Linked DNA regions of Danio rerio. The protein of the gene in region 1 purifies or fractionates together with the protein of each later gene. This does not show direct contact. Links are inferred from orthologs where the notes say so. Each region holds a gene or a part of one and is shown on either strand. Other genes may lie near its edges.

Region 1 (3,979 bases):
CTCCAAGAGCCAAGACCACCTTCTGAATCTGAGGAGAACAGAAGAGAGTTCTGCATCAGCTTGAGAGATCAATCCCATTTAACATTCATTGCATCTGAAACTAGCTGAGCTCATGAGTCAAGTTAAGACAAGTATGTGCCCATAGCATGAAACAGTCTTTTTCTCACTACGTTGAGCCGACTGGGATGAATATGGCCTTCATTTCCTCTGCCCCTAACAGATATAAGCTTTGTGCCACTGGCAGGCACAGCTTTGCCCAGATGATAGGGGACACGTGTATAAAACTGAAACATTTGCAAGACTTTATCTTGTGTCCCTAGTGTTGAATGTGAAATGGTTCGCACCTGTTGGGCCAGCTCTCTGGTAGGTGCCAGAACCATAGCTTGTGTGGCCTTCAGCTCCACATCAATCTGCTGCAGGATGGAGATGGCAAACGTGGCAGTCTTTCCTGTGCCGGACTGAGCCTGTGCAATGACATCATAACCTATAGAGAGAATATTAATTATTATTATTTGGTGTTTCACAGTCGGTTACTCACTAAAGCCTTCAAGGAGTATGCCGAGGCAGTTTGTGCCCATACCATGAAACAGTCTATGCCTCACTGTATTGAGATGACTGGGATGAATATGGGCTTTATTTCCTCTGCCCTTACCAGATATAGGTCAGAGTGTCACTGACAGACACAGCCTTGCCCAGATGATAAGGGCGTGAATAAACAAATATTTTCGTTCAAGTAAATATGCCAAGCAAATATAGATGGATAGTTACATTTCTACATACCCTTGATACAAGGGAGGATTGCCCTTTGCTGAATGGCGGAAGGTTTCTCAAAACCATAAGCATAGATTCCTCTGAGAAGTGCCTCTCGCAGGTTCATATCATCAAAACTATCAACAATCTCCTTCCAGTTGCTCTGTAAAATAAATGTGATTTATAGTTGATTATTATTAACACACGACAACTCATTTTTTGCACCTGAATATAAATAGCTTACAAGTAACTATTTTATTACTTTATTTCAGGGTTGCATAATGTTTTGTTGAGTATTCTATGATTTTTATTGCAAAAAAAAAAAAAAAAGATTTAAGTATATATGGACTTCTGTAGCCTCTATAAATTGTATAACCGCCTCGAAATAACATGAAGCCCTGATTTTACATTTAAATTTGTGGACAGATCAAAGATAAGGAATTCATGACCCACTATGTTTAGTTATATGTAATATCTGTATCTAATTACTACCTTTATTCTATAGTGATTCCTGCTATCCATAGACACAAAGACGTATACAATATTGTGGTTATAAATACTTTAGGTGAAATGGCTCTTAAGAGACACCAACCTCAATGACTCCATCTGGCTCCATCCCCTCCGGGCCATTGTCTCTGGGTCTGCAATAAGAGGTTGTAATTAGTACATTGACAACTCATTTCGCAAAATTAATTTCTCAGTGCCAAAATCTGAACATCTCCAAAGAACACATTAACTGAACTTTACTACTGCATAGAATGTATGTATATATATGTATATATATATATATATATATATATATATATATATAAACCCACCCCCCCCCCAAAAAAATTGCTCAGACTGTGAGGCATAGTCACAGTCAATCTCCATTCACTTTCATTGCGTCATTTCCCACATACTGAAAGTAACGGTGACGGAGACTGTCACTCCACCTAACATTACTTTTTATAAAAATGGGTCCGACAGGTTTGTTTTTCGATGTTCATTATTGTTTAGTTAAACTGAGACAGAACTTAAAGAAACTGATATAGCAACCTCTGAAATCTACGTTACCAAGAGGCAGCCATTTTCGCTCAGCGCCATTACCAACGTGGCTCCACCGAGACACATTCATTCGCATATTCAACATTAATCTATTACTACAACATCCAATCTTATAAAAAACGTCACGAAACAGCATAACCACGCAGATTGATATACCATTTAATTAACACGCATGTTTCTCGATTATGAAGTTACAGTATATCAAGTTACATATTAAACAACGACACCGCTTCGCTTCTTTTTAAATCCATAAAAATACCACCCTTTAAAGTTATAAAATTTTAATCTTAGAAAATAGTTGGTTTGAAATGGTTGAAAACAGGCCTTGACGTTAGGCCTAACGTTATACTCCCAGACCACACTCCATTGTCTCGCCCATGAAAGGCCATGTGCCATACATATCCTCTCGATTGAGGGCTTAAATCTGCCAACAAAGTCGGTTTTAATAATGGATGGCATCCGAAACAATGTTCTCGAGTAGAGTACATAACAATGAATGTTGAAAATGTCCGCAATCGGTTCAAAACGAGGGAAATGAAACGGCCATGTGCCGCATGGACGCGCCGGTCACACGATGTACTGAAGCAGCGCGTGAGACACGTTGCGTCACAAGAACCGGCATTTTAACGGAACATCGAAAATATGGCACCAATTCATCTTAAAACACTTTTTAGTTAACATCAATACGATATCCTAAAACAAAACGACAAAATCGCAGGAAACTGGATTAAAAACACACTTTTCTAAACGATTTTAACGAGGCGGGAACAGGGCGAGCACGAACATGCCAAATCGGCAAATAATGCTAGTTTTTAAACCGCTAATGAACAATCTTTTACTACAATACATCTTAAATCGATAAGAATTCCTAATTGTTTTCCATAAATAATCAATATTTTAACAGATAGAAAAAACATTCGTCGAACACGTTATCTTACCTATCTTCATGTTCAGACGACATTATTACAAAGGACTGTAGACTGGCGGAAACGCGCAAATACTTAAACCGTGACGATGTTCAAAGTCCATTGATTGGACGTCTTGCCGTTCAGTCAGCCTGTAGTCCCGCCCAGTAACAACTCTCATTGGTTAGTTAACGATTGGCACCGCCCTATCATAAGCGCCTATTCATAGACGTCACGAAATGGGGAAAAATCCTAACTGGAACTTAAAACAAATTTCAAAGGAAATGTGATGCTTAGAAAGATACTTTCTAAATGGTAAATACCTTTTTAAATGACGTAAACCAACTACACGTATAAAAAAATAGCACAAATTACAGGTTTTCGTCGAAAACATTTTGAGTCCATTTCTTTATAGAATATGCTAACGTAAATAACGTTAAATGACAATACGAAGACCTGTTTGTTTTTATGATGGGTTTAAATGGACATACATATTTGAGTACCTTTACTATTTATGTCACTCGCTGTTGAAATGTTTCAAAATGGTTCTGACAGCATTCAAATGTAAAATCTTACTGGGTCAAATGTAAAATGTTACTGGGTCAAATAATTTGCTGCTGACTTCAAGATAGTACAGGACAACCCTCCCTTATTGCCCAATGTCTTGTCTTCCTCTGCATAAATGTCGAAAGTGAGTCATTTATGATTCACAGCTGTTGTTCCCATTTAACAGTTCTTACAAATATGAAGGCTTAAAACAGCTTACTGGTATTACTTCCAGTTTAAGAAAGGATGAGCACAGTACAAAGTAAACAGTGTGGTGATTCAGTAACCCATCATAACAAATTGGGCTATTTAAGTGACAAAAAAAAGCATGTAATTCTTGATGAATGCATCAATTATTATTTTCGCATGATGATTTATTAAAAACAAAACGGCAGACATGATTTGTTACTTGCATTTTAGCACAGTTACTCTCATGCCAACATTTCTGATTAGGAGTTTTGCAACAACTTTATGCGCAGAACAAAAAAATGAAACCCAACACAGAATGTTTGACTCAGGCAGCAACACACAAGGGCCTGCCTGGCAGTCAACTGTTAATAACCTCCGGTGTCTCAGTCAAGGCGTTGGGCTCCAATACGAAACCAAACAGAAGAGTTATACAAAACAAAAACACAAGTGACTTGAGGATGAAATTTCCTCAGTGTGGAGTCTCTCAGGCTTTTTGGACAAATGTATCTTTTTTTGTTTTGTTTCCCTCACTGGCTGTGCAG
Region 2 (3,085 bases), on another chromosome or scaffold:
AATATATCTTTATATTACTATAGTATTTAAAATGTGCAGCACAGGATTTTTGAATTTATTTGTGTTTGCTGTCTAATACAAGCTATTTCTGTTTAGTAGAGCATATTAATTGCAGTAAATAACTGAACTTAATTATGCAGTTTTATTGATCACTTAATCAGAATTGGATTGAAGTTGCTTCGATGTAAAAATAAAAAATAGCTTAGATGTAGCTAAGCTACTTTTGCCATCTAATTTAGCTTACTACATTTCCCAGGCGGTAGCTTTTAGTGTAGTTAAGCTACATTTTACATAGAGTAACTAATAGTTTAGCTCACTACATTTCCCAAGCTTGCCCAACACTGCAACAGAGAAGTCTTTTGCATCTCAACTAATGTATCTCGTTTGAAGGATGTTTAAATATTTGTATTAAATAAAGAAAACACTGAGGAAGATATTCACTTTTTGGAGTGTAAATATCCTAATGGAACAAGAAAATGTTTTCCACATCTCAAGAATCTCAGAGAGGATTATTTATTTATCATAAACATAAGCATTTCAGAGGCTCTTACTAGTTATAGACAATGCACTGTACAATTTATTTACAGTCAGTTTTTTTCCATACATTTTCATAAGCACCCATGTTCAAGAAAGGAGTTATGTTTCGTATTACAAAGAAATCCAGCTACTTTGTGAAAAAAGGAGATCCGTTGTCTCAATACTGCCTTAAACACTTGACATGAGGAATGTGGAACAAGACTGCAAAAATACACATTTATACAACAGTCTTTGCAACAGAGCCAACCTTTGACATTCTCAAGCTGCAATACGAGATAGTGTGATTAGAAATAGCATGATCAGGTTACCGTCGAAATCACTTAAACACTAAATCCAAAGCAGAAATTAGTGCACCGAGTAAAAAAATAAATAAATTACACTTAAGATTTAATAACTGCAACACAACATAAAAAAGTCAAACGGAATATGAAAGAAAAACATTCATAAATTGAATCGAACGCACTCCCCCAATCCCCACTAGCAAAAACGATTTGTTAATAGTACGTTGACAATTAAAAAAAGAACGTGGCTTTGTTTTTTATACACTGTACAGTTTTGTAAATACGATATTCCTCTGAATAATCTTCAAATCTCAAGGCCTTTAATTTCCTAGTGTTTCCCTCACAGAATCCTGTGGAAAGGTCAGATCCTGCTTGTCTGTTTATATGTCACTGTTGATGAAGATCTGGATTTGATATAGATTCAGACTGTTGATGCAGCATCTGAAATTAAATCACGGCATGAGTAATCGATGTAAAGATATGAAAATGTTAAAGGAATGATAAAAATACCTACTGTTTAAAAGGCTCCTTAAACAACAAACTTGTTCTTGGTGGTGGAACCACTTTTGGTGGCCGTGTCCGCATGTGACTGGTATCCAATGATGACCTTTGGTGGCACACCTAATCTTTCTTTGTACACACGCCTGTTAAGGAGGAAAAGACAAAATGTAGACACTTAGGCTACGTTCACACTGCTAGGTTTAGTGCTCAAATCAGATTTTTTTTTTTGTGTATGGCTGTTGACGATGCTCTTATAAATGTGGCCAATTTCAGATTTGCAGGGTGAACAGATCCTAAAGTGACCCGCTTGCGCAAAAGTACATTACAGACAGCACAAAATGTCTAATTATGCACTTGTGATACTGTATGAAGTAAGCACGTTGTCAGACCATGCTTATATGATTATTGCCCTTTTCACAGACAACCATGGTGTGTTTCATGAACCGTAAATGATTGTTCTGCTACTACTAATGTGTATTCTGCCATTTGAAATCTAAAACAAGTCACTTGTGATTGAAATCACTGATCGTTTGTGATTTATGACAACAGCGGTGCACGTTTGTATGACCACCGGTGCAGTGAACTCATCAAGGGTTAATGAACAGAGTAAGACTAAACTGTAAAGGCGGAGTTGTTTTATCTCCATTTGCAGTTATTTAATTTTACTTCATTATAAACAGTAGACACGTGCAGAAGGGGGGTTTGGATGCTCGAGCACCTGCCCTTTTTTCTCTCGGAGAGAAAGTTCATCCTCCTTTGCACACAGAGTCCCTATTTGCAACACCCACGATGCTCTTCAGCTTCACGATCAACCCGCGCCTCAATCGTTAACAAACACCAGTTTTGCCTCCAAAATCTTTTTCAAAAAAACAACAAGCTTTCTGTGGTGCAGTAAACGCCCTGTGTGCCGTTCTACGATGCTGCTGAGGAGTACAGGATGTTTGCAGCACAGAATAATGACGCATGTTGCTCGAAGATTATGTAAAAGTCACAAGAAATCCGACATAACCGTTCACACTGCAGTCGCATTGCAAAACATCAGATCTGTGTCTAATTTAAGACTACATATGAAAGTGGCACAGATCTGACCTGAAAAGATCAGATTCCATGCGTTTGGGTTGTTCACACTGTCATTACCTGAGTAACATGAGGGGGAAAAAATCTAATTCGAGCCACATTTGGCTCAGTGTGAACGTAGCCTTATAGACAAAGTCAAGGCATAATCTGCATGACTAATAACCAAAAATAGTTGACAAGTAGTAGCTTTTTTTTCCCCAGAGATGGGTTTCGACTGGAAGGGCATGCGCTGCGTAAAAGCTTGCTGGATAAGTAGGCGGTTCATTCCGCTGTGGCGACCCGAATTAATAAAGGGACTAAGCCAAAAAGAAAATGAACCTGAAAACCTGAAAAAATATGCAGCTAAGTCACAAAATCTGTCGCAATTCAGTTTGCAAAAAATTCTAACTGCATTTCGTTTCCTCTCACTCCACAAATCCTTACAATTTAACCTTTTTAAATCAGCAACAACCTAAATGTTTGGATTGGTGGCTTGATGTTATTTATTTATTCCCACATCAGCAACGTATGGTTAATTCATGGCAAAATGGATATAGATAGAAAATATTACATGATAAAAACTAATTCATATTACAACAAAAGTGACTCAGACAAATATTTAGAATATAAATAAATAAAATTCACACAAAAATATATTCAAAGTTAAATATGATTTTTCAGTTCAATTTTTGATAAATAATTTAACACTC
Region 3 (3,500 bases), on another chromosome or scaffold:
ATAATTGCTTGGTAAGTCTGAGAAGTTTAACCATTAAGCAAATATTGTGTGGGGTTTGGGTTATTTTTTGGGTTTTAGTTTTGCGGGTGGGAAGCAAAAATGAATCTGGGAACTCCAGATTGCACACCGAAGTGCCGTTCTGAAAGGCACGCGGATGAAGTGATCTCAGCTTTGACCAGCGGTTCAGAGGCCTGTCTGCGGGCCTTCCTGTCTGTCCACTGTCACAATTCGGCTACTCTGCGGGATGAGTTCGGACGCACAGCTCTCCACCTCGCAGCCTCCATGGGAAAGCGGGAACTGCTTCAGTGGCTTCTGGACTGTAAACATGCTGACCTGTTGGCGAAGGACAAGGAGTCTGGCTGGACTGCACTGCATCGCAGCGCCTTCTACGGGCAAATTCACTGCCTCATAACCCTCATCAAGGTGAGAGCTGATGTCGATACAGTATAGACCACTTCAATGTGGCAATTGTCACTGGCCCACGAACATTTCCTGTTTGTTGTCAAACTAACCAACACGAAATAGGTTAGGACCATTGTTTTTTGTTTACATCCCTCAAAATGGTCTTAGGAAGAAATGATTTAATTCAGATATACATTAGAGCAGTCTTTCCCAACGCTGTTCCTGGAGAAACACCAATAGTACATATTTTGTATGTCTCCCTTCTTTAACTTCAGGTTTTGGAGTCTTGTTATGTTTTAATGAGTTGATTTCAGGTGTATTTGATTAGGGAGAGGTTGAAAATAAGTACTGTTGGTGTGCAGGGTTGGGTAACACTCATAGTCTGTAAAATATACAGTCTATGAGTGTTGCACAACCCTTTCTCCATAAGACTTTCACCAGAAGAAAAAATATTATCAGACATATTGTGAACATTTTCTTGCTCTGTTAAACATTATTTGGGAAATAATTAAAAAAGGAAGAATAATTCAAAGGGGGTCTAATAATTCTGACTTCAGCTTTATATGTAATTGTCTGTATTGCAGCCTTATTTGACGTAGTGACGTCACCCATAGGTTTTTGAAGAGCGCAAAAGAAGCCACAAGTAGGCGCGGCCAACCATTATTAGACCCCCTGTTTAATTCTTTCCCCAATTTTTGTTTAACGGAGAGAAGATTTTTTTTTAACACATTTGTAATCATATTAGTTTTAATAACTCATCTCTAATAACTGATTTATTTTATCTTTGCCATGATGACAGTAAATAATATTTTACTAGATATTTTTCAAGACACTTCTATACAGCTTAAAGTGACATTTAAAGGCTAAACTAGGTTAATTTTATTAACTAGGCAGATTAGGGTAAATAGGCAAGTTGTTATAAAGCGATGGTTTGTTTTGTAGACAAAAAAAAGCTGAAAGGGGCTAATAATTTTGTCCTTTAAATGGTTTAAACAATTCAAAACTGCTTTTATTCTAGCCGAAATAAAACAAATAAGACTTTCTCCAGAAGAAAAAAATATTATCAGACATACTGTGAAAAGTTTCTTGCTCTGTTAAACGTTATTTGGGAAATAATTAAAAAAGAAGAAAAATTCAAAGGGCGTCTAATAATTCTGACTTCAACTTTATATGGAATTGTCTGTATTGCTGCCTTTTTTGATTTATTTTGATTTTTTTGCAATTAGTTTAATGACGTTGTAAACAATCAACAGTCTTCATGATAATGAAAATTTTGAAACTGTGATACTAACCATCAACAAGTTGACAGTAGTTTACCTTAAACCACTAATATACAAAGTCATTTAATTAAGTTAAATGACACAAGCACACAAATTTATATCACAGTTGGTTTTGTTGCTGTTACAGAGTGAGAAATTGCACACTTCACCATTTAAAGATCCCATGAAGTGCTTTGAAATGTAAATTTTTTTAATTTGATGTTTGACATAATCTTTACTGAAAAACGTAGAGAGGGCGGGATATAGAGTAGCTCCTCCCCTTTAAAAAAACATCTATTAGCGATTTGTTTTATCATAGCTCTGCCAGTGAGAGTGGTTGAGCTCAAGTGCATCAAATGAAAAGTAAATGAACAGCGTATTAAAGGGGGCGGGGGATGTCAGACACTAGAGAGCATTTGATTGGTCAAGATTTGATGAGTAACTGAAATAAAAGGTGACGTGAAATAAACCATTGATCCATTTAGCCGGAAGTGGCAAGCTACAAGTTTTACATGTTTATATTTTCTAAATGCAAATTTGTGTGATTGTTTTGTACCACACTAGCTTACAAATATACTTGAAGACTAACATACTGATACTAACATCTAAATAACGTTACTTTAATTTCATTGGACCTTTAAAACAAATTACAAAAATGTTCATTTTCCATTCAAAGCTGGTGGATTTTTGGAAGTTTTATATCACGTATGTGGCATGAAAGTCAGCACGAAAATGAACTTGACTCTCTATTGTCATGCATATCTGAATGAAAAGGTCTTAAAATGCAGGTTGGGAATTGATTTTGTTCATGGAGTATGGACGCAATGAGTAAATAATGTTAATTGGCCTCCTGGCTGATATATTTGAGAGCCACTGCAGGTTTTAAAACGCATTGAACTGTGGAACGGGAATCACCAGGGCTGCTTTATATTCTCCATCCATTCCATTGGTTTATTGGCTTGCATGGTTGTCTTTGATTCAAATGTGTTTGGGTCATACTTTAGAAAGGCTTCTGTTTGAATTTATTTGTTTAAAGTCATTACATTTGAAGGACTCCAGTGCATTAATTGTAATCTTTACACTTTTTATTATACTGTTATTCAAACCACTACCAGTTTTTCAACAAACAATATTTAATCTTTTTAAATGTAATTAAATGTAATATATTAAATGTTTGCGTTCCAGCGTGGAGGATCGCTGTCCATGCAGGATAAGGAGGGTCTTTCTGTGCTGGACCTGACCATGAAGGACCGTCCAGCGCATGTTGTGTATCAAAACACTGGTAATTAAATTGGTTCCATTTCCTCACTACTATTCATTTTACTGTACCAACTCTCATTTATAACATTGTTCGCTTTAAGATATTTTTTTCATTTTTGTCAGTCTTCCTCTTCAATATCAGTGTTATAAAAAACTTTTGAGAAGTATCTCTTGTTTTCATGTAGTAAAAGCATAGTAAGACTTTACATTAAGGTTAAGGCATTAGTAAATATGGATTACCACATCTGTTAACCATTACTCAATCTATATTTATGTTAACTAAACATATATTAGCATGTTATTTAATATATATATAAAGGGGACCTATTATGCAAAAATCACATATAAGAGGATTAGGGTGCTTTCACACTATCACTTTTGGTCCGCACCCGGGTTCATTTGACGTCATAGTACGGTATGTTTAGCTAGTGTGTGAACGTCTGCAGAAACACTTTGGCCCCATTTACACTAGTGCATTTTAGTTCTAAAACGGCGTTTAAGATCATAAACGATCCGCGTCCACACTAGCTTTTCACCTAGCGTCTCTGAACATATCTCCGTCCACACTACGCCACCAAA
Region 4 (3,500 bases), on another chromosome or scaffold:
TGGATATGAACAAGATGATAAAGATGGCACCAAAAGACACTTTAGTTATTAAAATGTGAAGGAAAGAATATAAAGTGCTCTCGAAGCTGATGGGGTGAATACAGGTGCTGAAAGATTCTGAGTCTCTCTCAGGAAGAGACTGGCACCTGCTGGTCACTCTGGTGTTCACTTCGGAACACAGTGGGAACATGGCGAAATGTAACATGCAATGTGAACATGTTTCAAAGTATGGAGAAAAGAAGATTTTTATCAAATAAAAACAGAAAATAAAAAAACCTGGAGTTATCCTGAAAAACTCAGCTTTGCATCACAAATGTTTTGCATCTTAGAATATATTAGGAAAATATAATTTAGTTTATTAACAGTTTTTAACAGTAATTACTATTACTAACTAATAATACACAGTAATATTAATAAACTGTTATGTTTTACAATATCACACAATTGCTGTCTTGGAAAACTCTAAAAATGTAGAAAAAAAATTAATACAGTAATTCCAATATTGTGAAATATCATTACTGTTAATCACTATTATTTTAAAAGTTAAAATATATATTTTTATTTAATATAATCCTGTTCTTTATATATATAGCATAAGTACCAAACTTCTTTTTCCAAATATTCTAAACAAAAAAAGCAGGAAAACTTACTTTTTGAGTGGATTTGACAGGGCTCTTTACAGCAGGCTTTTCTTGTTTGTCATCATCCCTAAAGATAGATAAAATTAATTTCAACATCTGAACATTTGAAGTGGATCTTAACATTTGAAGTGGATAAAATAAAGATTTTAAAAAATTGTCCCAAGACAAGAATGGGTGTTGTTGGTAGCTTCAAATGTTGACAACTGTGTATATATATATATATATATATATATATATATATATATATATATATATATATATATATATATATATATATATATATATACATATATATATGTGTGTGTGTGTGTGTGTGTGCATGTGTGTGTATGTATGCAAAAAACGATGCTAGAGTTTGAGATTCTTTAAAAAAAAAAAAAGTGTCATTGTGCAAGCAGCAGCAGTTGCCGCTTTCACTTTAACCATTCTTTGAAAAGATTATTAATGGGCTTTTTCCAGAGATGGGTTGCGGCTGGAAGGGCATCCTCTGCGTAAAAACATGCTGGATAAGTTGGCGGTTCATTCCGCTGTCACGACCACGGATTAATAAAGGGACTAAGCCAACAAGAAAATGAATTAATTAATTAATGGGCCTAACATTAACCGTGTGCAGGTGATCATCCTTTCATTATGGCATGTTTTTCACCTGCTTTCTTTTACAGTTATTGTTTTATTAATTATGGTATATTAATCATCCTTTACAATACCATTGCTTTATTAGTAGATTAACTTCCCATTTATTTGTAGTTAACTGGTGTTCTGGGACCTTTAGCCAGTACAGACTACTGTTCATACTTCTAGATACATGACAATAAATATTTTTAAAATGTCAATTGTATTTTTTTAAAGAAAAGTTTTGTTGAATAAAAAGTGTTTGTTTACAGCTATATTTGGCTTGTTTTGAAAATTTCTAATTATTTTAAATTTGTGGATAAGAATTTTTTTTTTTTTGAGTTTTGTTTTTTTTGGTGTAGCCAGATAATAATAAGGTAAATCTGTAGTGTTGATCCCTGTTAAGTCTTGTGAAACAAGAACTATTTGCAATGCAGCACTAAAATCTATTTGCTCATGCTCATTGTACGAGGTCATACACAACACACAAAACGTGAAATAAATAAGGAGTCATGTAGACATAGCACAACTTCTAAATTAAAAAGTTTAGCATGCCAAAATCAAATATATGCATATAAAATGTATTCTCCTTACAACAAAATTGTAGGTCGTGAAAATGGCGAGTGGCTAGTAATGTTGAAAAACTACTAGCCACAGTCACTAATATAAATATAAATATATATATATATATATATATATATATATATATATATATATATATATATATATATATATATATATATATATATATATATATTACTCATAAATTATAAATAAATAAATTCGTATTCATAAATTACCTTTCACGTGAATGTGCAAATTGTATTTCACATTCGCCCTGGATTTGTGATTGTTTATATTTTTGAGACTTTCCAGGCAGCACACAACTCTCACACAGATCACTTTTTAGCAAATCAGATGAGACGTCATTGTTCAACCAATCATACCTCAAAGAGAGCAATGTAATTGAGGTACTCCACTTGGCAAACCATTTATGTAATCAGACTTAATTTAGAAAGGAATAAACACACACACAAATCTAAGTTGATTCACACATGAAAGACGATTTGCCCATTTGATTTGCGTAGTAATGTAAAACAAATTTTAAACATTTACAACTTTTTGTACACTGTTATACATTTTTAATTTGTAATATACATTGTTGACATTTCTAAAATGATTTTTTGAATATACAGTTAAAGTCAGAAATATAAACCCCCTTTTAATTTTAAATTTATTTTTTATATTTCCCAAATGATGTAACATAGCAAGAAAATTTTCACAGTATGTCTGATAATATTTTTTCTTCTAGAAAAATTCTTATTTGTTTTATTTCAGCTAGAATAAAAGCAGTTTTTAATTTTTTAAATACCATTTTTGGGGACACAATTATTAGCCCCTTTAAGCTATTTTTTTTTTCCGATAGTCAACAGAACAAACCATTGTTATACAATAACTTGCCTAATTACCCTATCCTGCCTAACTAACATAATTAACCTAGTTAATCGTAGTTAAACACTTTAAGCTGTATTGAAGTGTCTTAAAAAATATCTAGTCAAATATTATTTACTGCCATCATGGCAAAAATCAAATAAATCAGTTATTATAAATGAGTTATTAAAACTATTATGCTTAGAAATATGTTGACAAAATCTTCTCTCCGTTAAACAGAAATTGAGGAGAAAAAATAAACGAGGGCTAATAATTTAGGGAGGCTAATAATTCTGACTTCAACTGTATAATTTAATTGTATGCATGTAAACTGTTTTTATGATTATATATATTTTGTCATATACTTAAGTATAAATGAACCTTATTGAAGTAGTTCACTGCGTGTAAAAACTTTCAATGAAACACTTTATAACTGAACAAACTTGAGCTCTTACTCTTCTTCATCATCATCATCATCGTCGTCGTCGTCGTCATCATCATCGCTGTCTTCATCCTCATCTGAGTCCATTTTCAGCTTTTTCTAAATAAAAAAAAAGAAAAAAAATACCTCTATTAGAAGCAGAAAATTAGATGATATAATCATATTACATTATATTTAAACTATAGTTATGCAATTATATTACTTATTTTTATATTCCTGGTGTCTCAATTTTATGAAGTAATAAGCAGCAAAAAATAAATAAGCATTGCAGTTATTTTTTGGCCAGTAAATCACATCCTTAAAAAGAAAGTCCCTCAAAATGAAAAATCCTGTCATCATTTACTCACCCTTAACTTGAACGCAAAAGAAGATGT

What was found.
Region 2: the proteins of eif4a1a (region 1) and eif4ea purify together in Homo sapiens (affinity purification with mass spectrometry; 8 studies listed by BioGRID and IntAct, counting the BioPlex papers as one, with this or other methods). This does not show direct contact. The link is inferred for Danio rerio from reciprocal best matches to the Homo sapiens genes EIF4A1 and EIF4E.
Region 3: the proteins of eif4a1a (region 1) and ibtk purify together in Homo sapiens (co-immunoprecipitation; 4 studies listed by BioGRID and IntAct, counting the BioPlex papers as one, with this or other methods). This does not show direct contact. The link is inferred for Danio rerio from reciprocal best matches to the Homo sapiens genes EIF4A1 and IBTK.
Region 4: the proteins of eif4a1a (region 1) and npm1b purify together in Homo sapiens (affinity purification with mass spectrometry; 3 studies listed by BioGRID and IntAct, with this or other methods). This does not show direct contact. The link is inferred for Danio rerio from reciprocal best matches to the Homo sapiens genes EIF4A1 and NPM1.

The regions. Positions count from the first base shown.
Region 1 is NC_133182.1:26,546,631-26,550,609, forward strand, and holds the start of eif4a1a (eukaryotic translation initiation factor 4A1A), read right to left. Parts: upstream 2,801-3,979; 5' UTR 2,759-2,800; coding exon 2,736-2,758; intron 1,392-2,735; coding exon 1,343-1,391; intron 914-1,342; coding exon 781-913; intron 485-780; coding exon 345-484; intron 29-344; coding exon 1-28. UniProt on the Homo sapiens protein: ATP-dependent RNA helicase which is a subunit of the eIF4F complex involved in cap recognition and is required for mRNA binding to ribosome.
Region 2 is NC_133189.1:48,172,714-48,175,798, forward strand, and holds the end of eif4ea (eukaryotic translation initiation factor 4E-1A), read right to left. Parts: intron 1,463-3,085; coding exon 1,348-1,462; 3' UTR 1,333-1,347; intron 1,260-1,332; 3' UTR 501-1,259; downstream 1-500. UniProt on the Homo sapiens protein: Acts in the cytoplasm to initiate and regulate protein synthesis and is required in the nucleus for export of a subset of mRNAs from the nucleus to the cytoplasm which promotes processes such as RNA capping, processing and splicing.
Region 3 is NC_133191.1:5,050,850-5,054,349, forward strand, and holds part of ibtk (inhibitor of Bruton tyrosine kinase), read left to right. Parts: 5' UTR 1-99; coding exon 100-423; intron 424-2,846; coding exon 2,847-2,943; intron 2,944-3,500. UniProt on the Homo sapiens protein: Acts as an inhibitor of BTK tyrosine kinase activity, thereby playing a role in B-cell development. Down-regulates BTK kinase activity, leading to interference with BTK-mediated calcium mobilization and NF-kappa-B-driven transcription.
Region 4 is NC_133189.1:6,155,414-6,158,913, forward strand, and holds part of npm1b (nucleophosmin 1b), read right to left. Parts: intron 3,226-3,500; coding exon 3,140-3,225; intron 709-3,139; coding exon 651-708; intron 1-650. UniProt on the Homo sapiens protein: Involved in diverse cellular processes such as ribosome biogenesis, centrosome duplication, protein chaperoning, histone assembly, cell proliferation, and regulation of tumor suppressors p53/TP53 and ARF.